2 linked regions of the Oreochromis niloticus genome follow. The protein of the gene in region 1 purifies or fractionates together with the protein of each later gene. This does not show direct contact. Links are inferred from orthologs where the notes say so. Each region holds a gene or a part of one and is shown on either strand. Other genes may lie near its edges. The genes, in order: tyrosine-protein phosphatase non-receptor type 12 and pstpip2.

What was found.
Region 2: the proteins of tyrosine-protein phosphatase non-receptor type 12 (region 1) and pstpip2 purify together in Homo sapiens (affinity purification with mass spectrometry; 4 studies listed by BioGRID and IntAct, counting the BioPlex papers as one, with this or other methods). This does not show direct contact. The link is inferred for Oreochromis niloticus from reciprocal best matches to the Homo sapiens genes PTPN12 and PSTPIP2.

The regions. Positions count from the first base shown.
Region 1 is NC_031981.2:9,889,435-9,896,956, reverse strand, and holds the start of tyrosine-protein phosphatase non-receptor type 12, read right to left. Parts: upstream 3,003-7,522; 5' UTR 2,688-3,002; exon of another isoform or gene 2,540-2,687; 5' UTR 2,490-2,539; coding exon 2,388-2,489; intron 1-2,387. UniProt on the Homo sapiens protein: Dephosphorylates a range of proteins, and thereby regulates cellular signaling cascades. Dephosphorylates cellular tyrosine kinases, such as ERBB2 and PTK2B/PYK2, and thereby regulates signaling via ERBB2 and PTK2B/PYK2.
Region 2 is NC_031972.2:17,158,900-17,166,778, forward strand, and holds the start of pstpip2 (proline-serine-threonine phosphatase-interacting protein 2), read left to right. Parts: upstream 1-4,836; 5' UTR 4,837-4,948; coding exon 4,949-4,984; intron 4,985-5,761; coding exon 5,762-5,862; intron 5,863-7,879. UniProt on the Homo sapiens protein: Binds to F-actin. May be involved in regulation of the actin cytoskeleton.

The sequences.
Region 1 (7,522 bases):
AAAACGCTTGGTGGGTGTTTTGCTGGAAAAACTGATGGGAAGAAACACTTTCAGCTTTAAAAGCTTTAAAATTGTTCTCCTCCTGTACAACGTGTGGTTGTTGTAGGCAGTTTGACAAGGCGTGGACGTGTGTAACCTATGAATGACAAGTATAGTGGTGCTAAAAGAAGAACCTGCATTTAACCAGTTGAGTCTACAAACAGAATTTAAGGGCGAGAGAAAACGGGCAGGCAATAAAATCACAAACATATGGACACTGTACTTAGTCTACTGCGTAAAAATTCATCTAAAGAGGGCATGCATGGTGAAATTAATCTTCTGTAAATAAGCCAAAAGCAGACTAGTTCCAGCTCCGTAACGCTCGTCCACCAAGCACTTCCTTAATGCCTCTCACATAGCTGAGAACTCAATTTTTTTTTTGCCGAACATCTCCCAGCTCCTTGTTTTCTGCAACTCTCACTCAAAGGACAAGATAGAAGGCTAAGTCATGAGCACAAAATTAGACACAGATTCGCTTATTACAGAAACTGTTATGTACTTAATCTGAACGAGAGAGAGAGGCCTCGATCCAAAGTGTGCCAAAGAGTTGCATTTTTAAAGCCAGGACAAAATGTTATGAAATGGGCCAAGAAAGAATGTTGCAAGCTCCAGCAAGCAGCTTGCATGAAGTAGGGAAGTGAGGAGAGTCTGTGTGTGGGGGGAAAAGTTAACCATTCTGGTGCTGAGGAGCTTAATTCCCACATAATCAAACTGCAACATGATTAACATGAAACTAAGCTGGACGATAAGGCTGCTCATGAAGGAAAGTCTAAACCTGTTAAACCGTAAACTTGCTGTAAATTAAGATAGTAAATCAATTTCCACCGGAACATTTCTAAACATATCTAAATTAAAGTGGGCTCAATGACAGAAATGTTTTTATAGGAGTGACATTCCTGTTGTGGCATTTTAAACCATTTCACAAGCCTTGGTCCTATTTTGAGTCCAGACTTTCAACACAGTGACATCCAGTTATGTAGTGAAGGCAAACTAATGACTGCGGGTCAGCAGTCACCGCAAAATATGTAATCAAAATTACTTCAACAGCAAGCATCTCTAATCTCAAAAGATCCTCTCCACATGTAAGAAAGTTACCAGATTAAAAGTAATGCTGTTGTAAGGTTTAGTTTAAATCAGGGATGTCAAACTCATTTTAACATTGTGGGCCAGATACAGCCCACTTTGACCTAACTACATGTTTGTACCCGAGAGAGCTTAATAGATGGAGAAAAAAAAACTGCATGATAGAAAAATAATTTTTTGTAGTAAATGAAAGAAGTCTGTCAGCATGACTCTTAAATAGTAAGACAAAAACCTGTAAAATGGCATGCTACAATTAGGTGTATCCATTGCACACATAAATGACCTAAAAATAAACAAATATAACAACCATAAATTTCTATAATAGACAAAAAACTGGAACCTTTCAAGCATTTAATTTTTAAAATCTTTGCCGTAGCTTGAATCGCCATGTGGGTGCCTTTATAAGTAAAGATAAAGCTGTAAAACATTTGAAAATACTGTTAAAAGTCCAAAATTTATACCCTCAATCATGTCTTCCAAACTTTGGAGTAGGTTCTGATTGGCGTCTTTGCTTGGCCTCCAAGTCTTAGGTTTGACAACCCTTGTTTAAATGGTCATTTTTTATATGGGTCCAGTGTTTGGGGAGCTTTTTGTAATTTGCTTCCGTTAAATTGGAAATGTAAATACAAGTTTGCAAGTGGCCAAATTTATGAATGACCACAATAGATACCTGCTAAAACTTCTACTAAAATTGAAGTCATTTTATAAATAGCTGACAGTTTTGTTTTTTGTTTTGTTTTTTTATTACTGGAACACAGGGAAAACCACAGGAAATAAAGCATGCAATCAAGCTTAGGTTTGTGGATATTTACTGCTTATGAGGACAATGAATCACTGCACTGTGTCTCAATCAAGCATATAGCCACAATAAAAGATATACCTACAAGCTGCTCCAGCAACGTCATTAAAAAAATAAATAAATAACCAAGAGCTAGAGAGACAAGAATATATCGCGTCTTTGTCATTTGCCCTTTTTTTTAAATTTTAAAGAAACAGGAATCGGTTGTATTTCTGTGGCATGGGAGACAATGCTAGGCCGCCATGTAAAGCCTGGAAATGGGAGGAAAAAGGAAGAGGGCAGTGTGGCCGCCCCTGCCTCACCTCCTGGGGGATACACAGAGAACCAGGAGACGGGGAGGGGGCTGGGTGTGATATGAAGGGTCAGTATGGAGGAAAAGGTGGAGGTTATAAAGGGAAGAGGGTACATGTGAGACAGATATAGGATACAAGAGGCTAGGTAGAGGCGCCTGTTAATTTTGACCCACCATAAAGTCGCTGCCGAAGTTATCCTCTCCCCTCTCATCGTTCCCCTCGCTCATGGCCTTCACCCCCTGGATAAACTTTCTCAGGATGCCGGCTTGGTCCATTCCTTCAATCTTCTTGTTGCCTTTTCCTTTAAAAAAAAAATCTCCCAAACTGGCAGGGGGGTAGGGGAAATGTTACAAAAAAATAAAACAAAAACGGACACAGGGAAAGAGGGAAGAAGGAAGGGAGGGGAATAAATAAAAATAAATAAGCTTCACGGGTCCTCCCAGAGAGTCATCGTCCGCTCACAACAACACCTTTTTTTTTTTTTATTATCGCCCCATGTTGTTTCTCCCTTTCCTTCTTTCTTCTGGACTGTTTTCACAACGACAGCGGTTAGTCCCAGAGAAAAGCAGCAGCGGCCGGGTTTTCTGCCCCGTAAAGAACTTCACAACCGCGGCGGTGCACAAACTGTAAACACTTGGCTATGCGAGAAAAGAAAAATAAAGGAAAAAAGACAAGAGCCTAGGTCTGGCCAGCCTATGTACCCCTCCCTGTCTACCTCGGTTGCCACATTCACACACTGCTGCTCGTTATTCGCTACTGGGGAACATCCGGACTGGGTAAAGCCAAGGAACAATTAGGCCCGCCCCTTCCAGGATATACTTATATCTGATTGACTAACGCTGACCAGGAATTAAAATCCAAGTGGCTAAACTGGGTGTCGCTCTACCAAGTAGCGTGTTCTCATTGGATAGAATGTGTGCCTGTCGTTTTGACGCTAATCGTCATTGGTGAGATAAATTACGATCCAAAACCGTAACGTTTAAATAAACGGCGTTACTGTTTTGCTGTAATTTTTTATCGATACTTAAAAAATTATTTGTTTTTATTCGATGATATGCTGCTTCACATAAAAAAATGTTTTTTCTTACAGTCTGACAACTAAATTATATATATCTAAATAGGTCATCCGTATGATTACATTTCATTGGGAAAACAAACTTATTTATATCTTCGTGAACGATATAGTCCTACCCTAGTGTAAATTTTACATAATTTCATTTGTCTAAAACTTTAGTAACCAAATTATTTCTCAATCCTACAGTGGTATTGTAGTACTTCGCACTTTACGAGTATAGGTATATATTGCAATTCACTGCGTGTCAGCGCTACTTAACAAATACTAATTTAATGGGAACTGTTTATCAAAATGTACAGATACACCTTTCTAGATCTGTGCTGGTAATTTGAATTACTATAACCTTCTCTATAACCTGCTCTCAGAAAATACCACTCACTGAATATTTTCTCTCTTTTAGGCCATTCTCCATAAACTCCATTTGAAAATCTCAGTAGATCATCAGTTTCTGAAATACTCAAACCAGCTCATGTGACACCAGTAACAATTCAGAGTCACTCGAATCAAACTTCCTCCCAATTCTAATGCTCAGTTTGAACTTTTGTAGGTCGTCTTGACTATGTCTATATGACTATGTCATGCATTAAGTTGATGCCAAATGAGTGGCTAATTAGATATTTGTTTTATAACAGGTGTACCTAATAAAGTGGAGGTGAGTGTGTATATATTCGTGCATTTCTGTTTCTTCACATCGGTGGAAAAACATTGCTGGATGTTTTTTTAATTTTTCACTTTCTTAAATCAGTGATCACATTCATTTTTAGAAAAATAGAGTATATCAGTAAACGTTTGCATACATTTGCATACATGTATTGAAATCTCTTGGCTTTCAATATCTAACTATCCGTGGTCTAAAATCAGAGAGAATAACTATAACAAATAATCCTAAAACTCAAATAAATAACCCTGCCATGAAGCCATAGGATGGATGGATGGAGAGATAGAGAGATAGAGATGGATGGATGGATGGATGGATGGAGAGATAGAGAGATAGAGATGGATGGATGGATAGATAGATAGATAGATAGATAGATAGATAGATAGATAGATAGACAGATAGATAGATAGATAGCTAGAAAGAAGCAACAAACAGCCAAGAGATTAATGGGTCAGATATATAATCTGGATTAAAATGTGACAGAAATAGAGACAAAGAAACGTATCATGTATCACGCACATATTTAATTCTCCAGTGTGACTCAGTGTGTGTGTGTTTAGGTGATGTGTTTTGTCACATACTCACTTTTGCAGTGATAATGCTGATCTTAATTTTGTTGTAAGTTTTGTTTCAAAGACAATAAAGGCCTTCTAATTCTAATTAGGCATGCAGACAGTGTAAAATTGTCACTATTGTGGTAGCAAAAGCAATAGTAGTTATTAGTACTATAGCAGAAAATGTATTAGCATTGAAAGTACATGGTATACAGCAGAAGATTGGCATTATGTATGTGTTATGTAATAATGCTAAGAGGTTCTAATTTGAGCATCCAGTTCATTTAAATTTGATGTAACTGACAAACTGAGGAGAAAGTGCGAGTGACAAAGACGGAGAAAAAAAGAGAGGAACCAAATTGGTATTCAGGATAAAGCTGTCTGGGGACGAGAACTCAATAGACACTTATGCACGACGAACTGTCTTCCAATAAACACAGAGGGGAATCAAGTCACTTTGTTTTCCTTTAGTTCTAGCTCTGACAACAAACAAACCCATCTATTCAGCTAGAGTAAGAGGGAGAAGGAGAGGGGACGCTGTCACCGAGCCAACAAGCCTTTCCTCACACAAACTGCTTTTTGTTGCTCTTGTCTTTAAACGTATTTGCTTGTTATCCCAGTAAATATTCACTGTTTTCTTTGCTGTCCCAGTTTCATGTCCTTCTCTCTTTCCTACATTTTCTCTCTCGTTGTTTAATTTTATTTCTGAGCTGACTCAAACTTTCTTGCCCTTAGCTGTGCACTGAATGGAATCTATAGTTTAGTTGTTACTGTATATAAGAGATGCATTATCTACTAATCCAATAACTGAATTCTGAACATTTTTGGGGGATTAAAGAGCCTAAGAAAGTTATTCAGCCAAAAACAACAACAACAACAACAGCAAAAGACCCCAACATATGCTGAAACAAAGAAATATTTAGTATTTTGGTATGTATAAAATATATATTTTTTTTAATTTAAGAATTTGATTTATCTTGTATTGACACTGAATGATTAACTGACTGGTCATGTAAGCTCTGATGTGCAGTATCGTGAGTCTTTGCTGTTGTCATCTCAACCATCAATTATCTTCTCATTGCTGTACAGTTGCAAAAACCTGCAGTGCAATTGTTGGTGTTTTTATGGCAACAGATGTATGTTTTCAAAGTCATTAAAGTCTTTTAAAACTTTATATTATGAGCAGAAATTATTTGAATCCATTCACTGCAGCCAGGGTCATTAGTCTTAGTTGACTGAATATTGAAAATTGGAAAGAATACTGTTTAGGAACATGTTATTATTAATGTCATACTTTTACTAATAATACTCATATTACTGGCTCAGACACACTAAAAATAGGACGGCAACTTCCTTGTAACTAGGAAAAATTAATGGTTTCCCAGTGTCTGCATGGCTGAATCTTTTTGCATACAGTCACTAATTGCAAGTGGTCGCGGCGACCGACTGCTCACACAGAGCTTGGGCATCCAACACCGTCAACTTCTGGCCGACCACTTTCAATCACAAGGCAGTTGCACAGGTTGCCTGGTGGGAGGCAACCTGTCTCCAAACAATTCTGCCGATACTTGGACTGACTGCAATTACTCTCATACACACTGGTGAGGGTTAACTATATAAATGAAGACAGATTGCCAACATGTTACAGTCAAGCTAAGTCAGTTTGCACTTTTCAGTGCAACTTGTCTACGATGCACCTCTTTGACTCAGCTGGTCAGGTTGCTAACTGGTTGTACTCTGGTTATATTCCTATATAAAAGCATTTTGGAGTTAAATTACCGCCCTGCACCGACTACATCAGAGTTTGTGGAAGAATTTGTGTTACAAATCTGTTAGGTTCTCTCTGGACTCTGAATGTAAGTAGTTATTGTTAATTTCTGTGTATGTAGATGGCAACAGTTTTCCCAGTTTTTCCCAGTTAACTGCTGTAATATCACAAACAGATTGCATAATTGCCACCTTGATCCCATTTAATTATAAATTATTGCAGACCGACTCCAGCTTTTCACCATCTTAACCCAACAAGGTTTCTTTAAAGACAGCACCTGACCCCGCCTTCGAAAAGACTACTTCGAAGACAATAAGACTGCAAGTTACCACAACTGGTGTCCAACCGCTGCTTTCCCTTATGTTACTGTAGCATATGGTAGCTTTGTCTTTCTTTATAAAAAGTTCTTACTCATTATTATGTGTACAATCCTGGGCACAGCTCCTCAGTTCAACTTTAGCTTGTTTCCCTCTAAGACCACTTCCTTTAACCCACGTTTCTTCTGATTGGCTGCCCCTCTCAAGCACAAGGTGTGAATACAGGTGGATGGGAAGCAGGAAAGGCATACTGTGTCAGTTTTAAGGTACGTAAATAATGATTTCAAGCTGATTCTGTTTCTTTGTGAGTCTGTAAAAAAGGATGTAATTGTGTAGCTGGATTATTCTGTTTCCTCCCAGCACAGTTCATTAGAAACAGGTCAAGCAGACTGAGGAGATAAACACACATCAAAGAGCACTTTGGTCTACTGTACTCTGTGTGTGCATGCGCATGTGCATAACTTCTCTTATGGCTGTATGATGAGGAATATTTTAGGAAAGAGCTTGTGGCCTTCTCTCTTTTCTCAGCACTGGCTCTGGTTGCACTGCATCTGACCCTGACCTCTGATCTCCATGCAGAGAAGATGGGAGTCAAAATTTCACAAGAGGAGGAGAGAGGGGGGAGGATCAGTTACACATGATATTTTTATGACCCTTTTTCCTTCCTTTACCAATTTCCTCTGCCAGTGCATCACCACTCTCTTTACCCCTCCTTCTCCACAGATACGTCTACGGCTCTCAAACATATACACCCCCCCCCCCCCCCCTTTTTTTTTCTCACTGACTCTTCATTTCCAGTCCTTCCTCGTTCTATACTCACTCTCTTCTTTTTTCCTTCCTCCCTCTCTTTGTGGAATGTACTGTTCAGAAGCAGCTGAGTGGAGGAATGTTGCTGTAACAAGCCCATACAACAACCCCAAGGTAGGGAGGCGCCTC
Region 2 (7,879 bases), on another chromosome or scaffold:
CAATCAGATCTGTTTATATATTCACCTTTGCTGGCCATTTTCTCAAAGATAATAGTCCGAAAACAAGAAGGATCGTCTTGCTTCTTACAAAACAGTGTTGAGACTTGATGTTAAGAAACAGGTTTGAGCTATTGATAGCACAGACCGGCTTTTAAACATGTTACATACGTCAGCCACATACTCAAAAAGAAATCCCCTGTTGGTCACGAGTCAACTTCCTCCTCCTCCTACTTTGTTTACGAGCGTCTAATCAGTAGTGTTAAAGGTTAAAATGGTTAAAACTTAGTATGTTTTCACTTTGCTAAAGATATATATCCTACACTATACTTTATTTCGAAAGTCACATTTAAGAATAACACGGACAATAGAAATTGACACGTACATATGTTTTTTAAAAAAGTTAGAAGTCTTAGAATGAGCTCATAACCAAATCAAAGAGAAAGCAAAACAATATGTGAACCAGTTCCACCGAAGCAACATTTCATCAGACCAGTTTGTTAACTGAAAAAAGCTCACAAACCAACCATAAAGAAAACAGTACAGAGTGAATGTACGGCAACAGTTCACAGCCACATTTTGTTTCCTGGCCGATAAGATTAGATATTTAGAAACACTGTTCACTGTTCACCATGTACAGGACAGATATCATTGGACGTATTATATAAACACAAACACAGAATATTTAAAACAACAAGCTGGAGAAAATGTTTCTTTACACCAAAACCTTGCATTAACCGGTGTCACGCAAGTTTCCGTGACTGAATTAATGCAAAAACAAACAAGGCCAACACCACTCTAATCACGTTACACACACTGGGCACGTGACCTGTTTACGCTAAAGGGTGATGAAAAACTTTGTGACGTGGAAGTCAAAGATATGTGCATTGCGCTTCTTCCTTAAAAGTGCATTATTTGCATTGTGCTTAGTACAAGCGCCATGAACTTGTTTTGGTATGCCTTCTCCTTTCGTACGAAATGGGAAGTACCTGTAAAATATACCGCTGTTTAAAATCAGGTGATACGACGGCTTAGAGAGTTGCAGTATTATTTCTTTATTTAAGGAAAAAGTATTTGCTTTTGAGAACTGAGTTAAAGTCCAAACTTTAGGATTAAGAAATCTAGATTATTGAAAGTACCACAATATAAATGTTTAATGTATGTGGCATCATGGGTCTGTTAATACCTATGCCACAATGTTTACTGTTATAGCTAGTCGGTCTGGTTTTAATATACATTCAACACCTCTTTATTAAACCTGTTCAGCTGCTCATCAATATCTCATCCAACCAATCACATGGCAGCACTCATTGCATTTACCATGCAGACAAGGTCAAGACTACCTGTGAAAGGTCAAAGCGAGTATCAGAATAAGGAAGAAAGTTAAAGTGACTTTAAAAGTCACGTGGTTGCTGGTGCCAGATGAGCTGGCCTGGAAGTTTCAAAGACTGCTGATCTATTTGAATTTCCCCACGCGTCACCATCTCTAGAGTTTTAGTAAGAGAAAGAGAAAATATCCACTCAGCTTAAAGCAAAAGAGGAAATTCCGGCCTCAACTCCCAGTGGCTTTTCATGGTTAGACAACAGAATATTCGAAAAGTGTTGCCTGGCCTGAGTCTTGATGACCAGAGTGTACCAATCTTTTAATCCTGCTTCCAGCCTCTATGCCACAAATAATTAATAAAGCCATACTGAAGGCTGAAGCTGGCCCAACCCTGTACTAACAGGGTGTAAACTAGTCAGCAGTTTAGCCTAGTGGCTGCTAAACACATGATGGGCCTCCTTTAAAGGGCCATGTAATTAAGAGCGAATTTAGATTGAGAGCAAATTTCAAATTACATTTCTGCATTTTTTTTTTTAAAAAAAAAACATATAGAAAGTGAAAAATTATGTACGATATATTTATGATCCCCTCATCTTGCCTGGTATCTGTCAGGGTACCTGGGTGTTGGACCCAACTTTTGTCATTGATTAGTTTCCCATGTATGTTTCCTGGTTAGTGTGATAGTCTTTTGTCTCGTCTGCATTATGTCTAGTTCTACTTCCCCTGTGACATTAGTTAGATTTATTCCAGCTGTGATCCCACCTGTTTCCTGTCCGTTATCCTGTCTGTTTAAGCCCTCGTTTCCTTGTCTCGTTGTCCTCAACTCCTCGTGTGTGTTTCCAATGTAGTTAAGTCATTCATGTTCAGTTCAGTCTCTGTAATAAATCCCTACTCCATTCCAAACCAGCCAGAGAGTCCTGCATTTGGGTCCTCTCTCTCTTCTCCACACACCTGAATGTGACAGTATCCACTTAGCAACAGGCTGAACAGATCCTGTCATTTTCCTTTCATAACAATAACACGAAACAGGCATTTATTAGTATACTAAATATGTATACAGTGGTATAATTCTATGTATATTTTTATGTCTCTCTATATATAGTACTTGTATGGCAATAAAACAATTTTAAAGGTTAGTGGGAAAATGTCTTTATATTTTAATTACTGTACTACTACTATTATTGTACTACAGTAAACGTACTTAAATGGGGCAAATCTAAGTGGCACCACTGCACATTTCACACAGCTGCTAGTTGTCCACAGAGCTCAGTGGTCACATGGTTACAGCAGGTGTGTCATTGCTGCTGATAACAGCATTGTAAAATGCATTGGCCTCTGAGGTTTTCTTTTATTGCCAGGTCCTTAAGGTACAAGTATATGTTTTGAATGTAAATCAACAGGCTTATCATGGTTTCTCTCTTGTGCAGTCTTGTGACCTTTTTTATGAAAGTTTGTGTTGTTTTGCAACGTCTCTGAGAGGAAATCACCCCATTAATCTTCCACTTCATGGTTGGGGTTTGTGTGAGTGACATTGCTTTGGTGGAAATAAATAAATAAATTGGAAAACACACTGACTTTTTTGGGGGGCTTTCAGGGGTAGGTTTGAAGTCGGTGCTTGTGTTATTTGTGATGGGAGCAGGTAGCTTGTGTGAACAAAAAAAAGTTGACAGGCTTTGACCTTTGTTTGTGTAAATAGTGACAAATGAAGAGTACACAGATGTGACATTAATAGTCAAGCTGTTCGTTAAATAAGCCGTTCATTCCATCTGGGTTGAAGTGAATTCAGATCATTTAATGTAAAAATTCTTAGGAAATGTAACTTTACCTAAAGGTATGCATATATTTATATGTAAATATTAAACACTTGTTCCCTATTATATATTATAAATTAGCAATAATATTATAACTGTCGTATTCATGTGGTTAAAGTGGAAAAAATTTTAAATTAAGAATTAAATTTTGATTTATTAGATTATTATTAAAATTTATTTTATTTGTATGGTCAATTTGTGAGACAGCAAAAACATGTAAATGGATTCTCTGTAAAGCTAAGGTCAGCTGGGTTTAAACTTACCCTGAGTTAAGTTTAACCTGTGTAGGACCCTAACCCACAGCAGCCCATGCCTGATTTTTAATGTGTTACAGGGCTCAAATCAAAAATCTGTGTGACACTGGTACTACTGGTGCTTATGGAATGCTGTTCCATAAGCACCCACACTGGAAATTCCTTTGCTGGTAAATCAGAACATCCAAAACATCAATTTATATTGGAATAATATAGAAACTTGAGTGAAGATACACCCCCTCCTTTTTTGTCTGTCTAATTACTTCCTGTCCGAGATCAACATGCTAGACATGCACATTAATACTTGTATGAATAAGTGACACAAATACTCAAACTATACTGACTGGCGTGTGATGGGGAAATTCTGAAGTGGCATGTTTTAAAATTTATGAGAAATAGGACATCATAGCTTGTTTTGAGTGTTCATGTTTGTTCTTTTGTATAATTCATCTATTTGTATGCTGTCTACTCGTTGTTTGTTCAGTAAAGTTCATTTATTTAAAAATAAAAAGTAACTGCAGCTGTGTAAAAGCGAAATGTTGCCCTCTGCTGTCGGGGACCTGAAGTACAACGTAGTTTAAAAAGAAAATGATAAACGAGAGTTGTGTGTCACTACAGTTAATATAATTACATATGACCGCTGCACCCTTACAACCTTTGAAAAGTAAAACTAAAGCCAACTCAGGTAACTGATTAACTTATTAACTGATATTAATTAATAACACATGTAGAATGATAAGAATTCTTGTGCCTTTAATGTGCACAAGAATCAAGACAGAATAAAGCCCAGCTACAAAAACCACGACACAGATAAAACCAATGAAATAAAATCCAAACATAAATATGAATCCTATCTGGTTTCTAGTTATTTAGGAGTTACACAGTGTAATAGCCACCGATAGAAAGGATCGAAAGGGATAGTTCAGTCCTGCACCTTGGGACAATGATGGATTGTCCCTGATGCTGAAGAGGTTGTTCATTAACATGGGCTATTTTGAATCTTCAGCAGTGAAAGGCTCAAGGGCAGTTAATCCATTACTGTGCTACTGCTGGTATTACAGCACTGTAAGGTTTTCCTATTTGTCTACACTGTGTTTATTTAACAGCACTATTTACCGATTACGTTACAAATTAGGATTTCATATGTTTTCTTACAGTGTACTACTTTAGTTTTATTTGTTGTTAGGGATCAACCCCCTCAAATGAACTACTTAAATCATGTTGTATTTTCTTCTTCTTGTTGTTCTTCTCAACATTATTATTAATATTAATATTATCATTATTATTATTATTATTATTATTATTGTTATTATTATCGGACCAGTTTATACCAACTGTAAACACTGTAAGTACGCCCATTAGCCATCAGATGGCGGCAAAACCAAGCTCAGCGCAAGAATCCGATGAAGTTTTTGGCGCTCCAGTTGTCACGTGACTGCGCTTGCGTCACTTTGACGGGCTTTGCCTGACAGACTCAGCTCTTGCCTGACAGTCGGCACTTTCTCTTACATGATCAGAGAGTGCTTGCGATAAAGCGCCTGTCTGCTGCCTGCTCCGTTTACATGATGAAGAACCTTCATTTTAAGGATTTCTTCTGGGTGAGGTTTTTTCTTGTCTTTTTTGTTTGTTTGTCTTTCTGTGAAGTTGTGATTGGAATTTGAAACATTTTATTTTTTGATTCAGCTTCAGATGGTTTAATAAAAAATTGTATTTTTGTATTGTATTAATTATTAGAAACGGGAATCCTGTTGAGGGATCTAACGTTCGTAAAATAGTATGGAAAGAGGAGCATCAAAACTAAGCTATTAAAAACACTTGATATGAACTGATGGGGAGTTTTTGGTAATGCAGTCATGTGTAACCTGACCAATGTTTTATCAGATCACGTTTCTCTCTCTGCAGTGTAAATAGTAAATGTCATTTCCTTTAGTGGTGTAAAGAGTAAACTGAATAATCCAGCAGATTAGAGTGGAAATACTGAGAGTACCAATAACTTCTACGCAACATAAGCAAATATGTGTAGTTAAATTTCACTGCAGGATTTTTGCATTGTCTAAGTATGGCCTCATATGGTGTATTTTAAACCAATAGAAAGTCTGGCAAGTTGATTATAAGCTGTTGCCCTCACCTTAACTAAATTACAGAGATGCCTAGTCCCAAACATTAATTACACTCAGAGTCAATTATTCTGAAGCTACAGTGCTCGTTTATGTCTGTAGGGATGTTTAAACAAGTTTAGCCAGAGCGTGGCTGTCCTACAGTTAACCTGGGTGTGGGAGTAGAGGTAGCAGAGGTACAGCTCTCTGTTTCTTTTAAGATATGTGCTTTGCTGTAAAACTGTCTGCTGTAATACTGTCTGTGCATCTTGCTGACAGAACTCGGACCTGACCTCCACTATCGGGTATGATGCCATCATTCAGTATCTCAATGATGGCAAGAGGACATGCAAGGAGGTGGAGGATTTCATGAAAGCCAGGTAATGCCGTCATCCTTATATATAATAATGCACAACTGATGGGATGTTTGGCTCTAACCAAAGTCTGGAAAACTGTGTTCAAGCTTTACATTTACAGGCCAGTTGTTGCTATCAATGTAACTGACTGCAAGATAGGTAGATGTAGTGCAGGTTTTGGCTGCAGGCATGCAATTAGGATGAAGAGAGTGAAAAGAAAATAAACTCTAAGAACGACAAGTGTAGTGGAGGAGGACAGCATTTAGAGCATTTTGAGATTAAGGACAGTACTGGAATACAACAAATAAAGTTGCCTAAAAAAGTAAATTTTAGTTGCTATAATCTAAAAAAAAAAATCAGATAAATACATATTTTGATTATTAATTATATAGTCAGTCAAACACAAACACGTCCTACCGTCTTGTAATTTGTGCAAAGCGCACTATCGCAGTTATATGATTAAATACCAGAAAAGTAGTAAAATTCTGCTTTCTAAAAATTCTCTAAGGTTAATTCTGCACACTGTTGATGAGATGAGAGATGATGAGATAGCCTTTATTTGTCAGTTGCAGGTCTTTTGCCCGCAACCGAGATGACAGACCTTGCCGACCGTACATACAATACACAAACATCACATTGGGGAGACAGGTCAGGCTAGGTAGCGAGGAAATAAACATCGAAATGTGTAACACAAAAGGATAATACAGGAATGCACAGATATCAACACACCATAGCACAATAAACACAGACAAGCAACATGGGAAAGTGTTCCAGTGTGTACATCTGATCTGGGACAGCTGCAATCTTTCGACTGCGCCTCCAACTGACCCGATGTCCACATCAGAGGGGAGGTAAGCGTTGGAGGTGGCGTTGGATCCGGGGTAGGGAGGGGTGATGCGTCGGTGGATCACAGTAGAGCAGAAATGAAGTCCCAGTCAAGCAGGAATGATGTGACGCATCAGGTTTTATAATAGAGACGTATAAACTTTCACATCTAATCATTAATTCATCTTCCTCTTATAATAATTAATCTGTCCGTGCTCTCCCACACACACATACGCATACCAAAAAAACAAAAACACTCCACACATATAAAAGTCCAGTGTGTAGTCAGAAACGTGACCTAGTGAGGTTAATGCTATGAAAAAAGGAGGATATTATGCCAAAACATAACTGTACGTTTCCTAATTTGGGACTCACCATTTTTAAACCGCAGTGGTTTTAACAGTAATTGTGGGAAGATTTACCAAAATAAAAGTAGAGTAAGGAAACATGGTCAGAATGAGGTGTTTTGTGGGAAACGGCGGCAACAGTCGAATTCTTTCAGCTTTCGGTTATGCAAAAACAAATTCTTCAGGACACCAAAGAGCAGCCACGACAGCCCGCCGGTGTGGAGGGAGGACTCAGGTCAAACTTAGTGTGAGAACTTCCTGGTTTAGGTTGTTTGAGTCGCATGTTTTATGATTTTTTGTAAATAGTGTTAACTATATCTTGATCTGTGGCTGTGTAATTATATTTGAGTCTGTTAGAGTTGCATTTTATTTTAAGTCTCCTATTAGCATTGATAAGCAAATTAAGCATATTTTAAGCGGTCAGCATTATAGCATGCTCATGCATTTGTATAGTAAAACTGTATTCAGTTGTATATTTATATGTATGTTTTTTTTAATATTTATCATTGTACAATGCATATTAGAATTGATAAATTATTTTCCATTTTCTTCTCCAACGTTGCATCAATGTTCCTGTCAAAACTCTTCAGAGAAAGAACAGACTCCAATTATAACACCACACATGTAAATGTTGTCCTGTCTTTTTTGTATCAGTTAATAATTTAATATGTAAATTTATAACTTCTAAAAAATACTGATAGTGAAGCCTAAGGGATGTATAAATGTAAATTTATGATAAAGCATTACCTTTCAGAGATGTCTAGTATGGGTTTTGCATGTAAATTCATATACAGTCTGTTGGCTGGCAGACTGTTCTGTTTGTTGGCCGAATCTTTGCATGTATGCTTTTACGCTGCCCTCACTCTCAA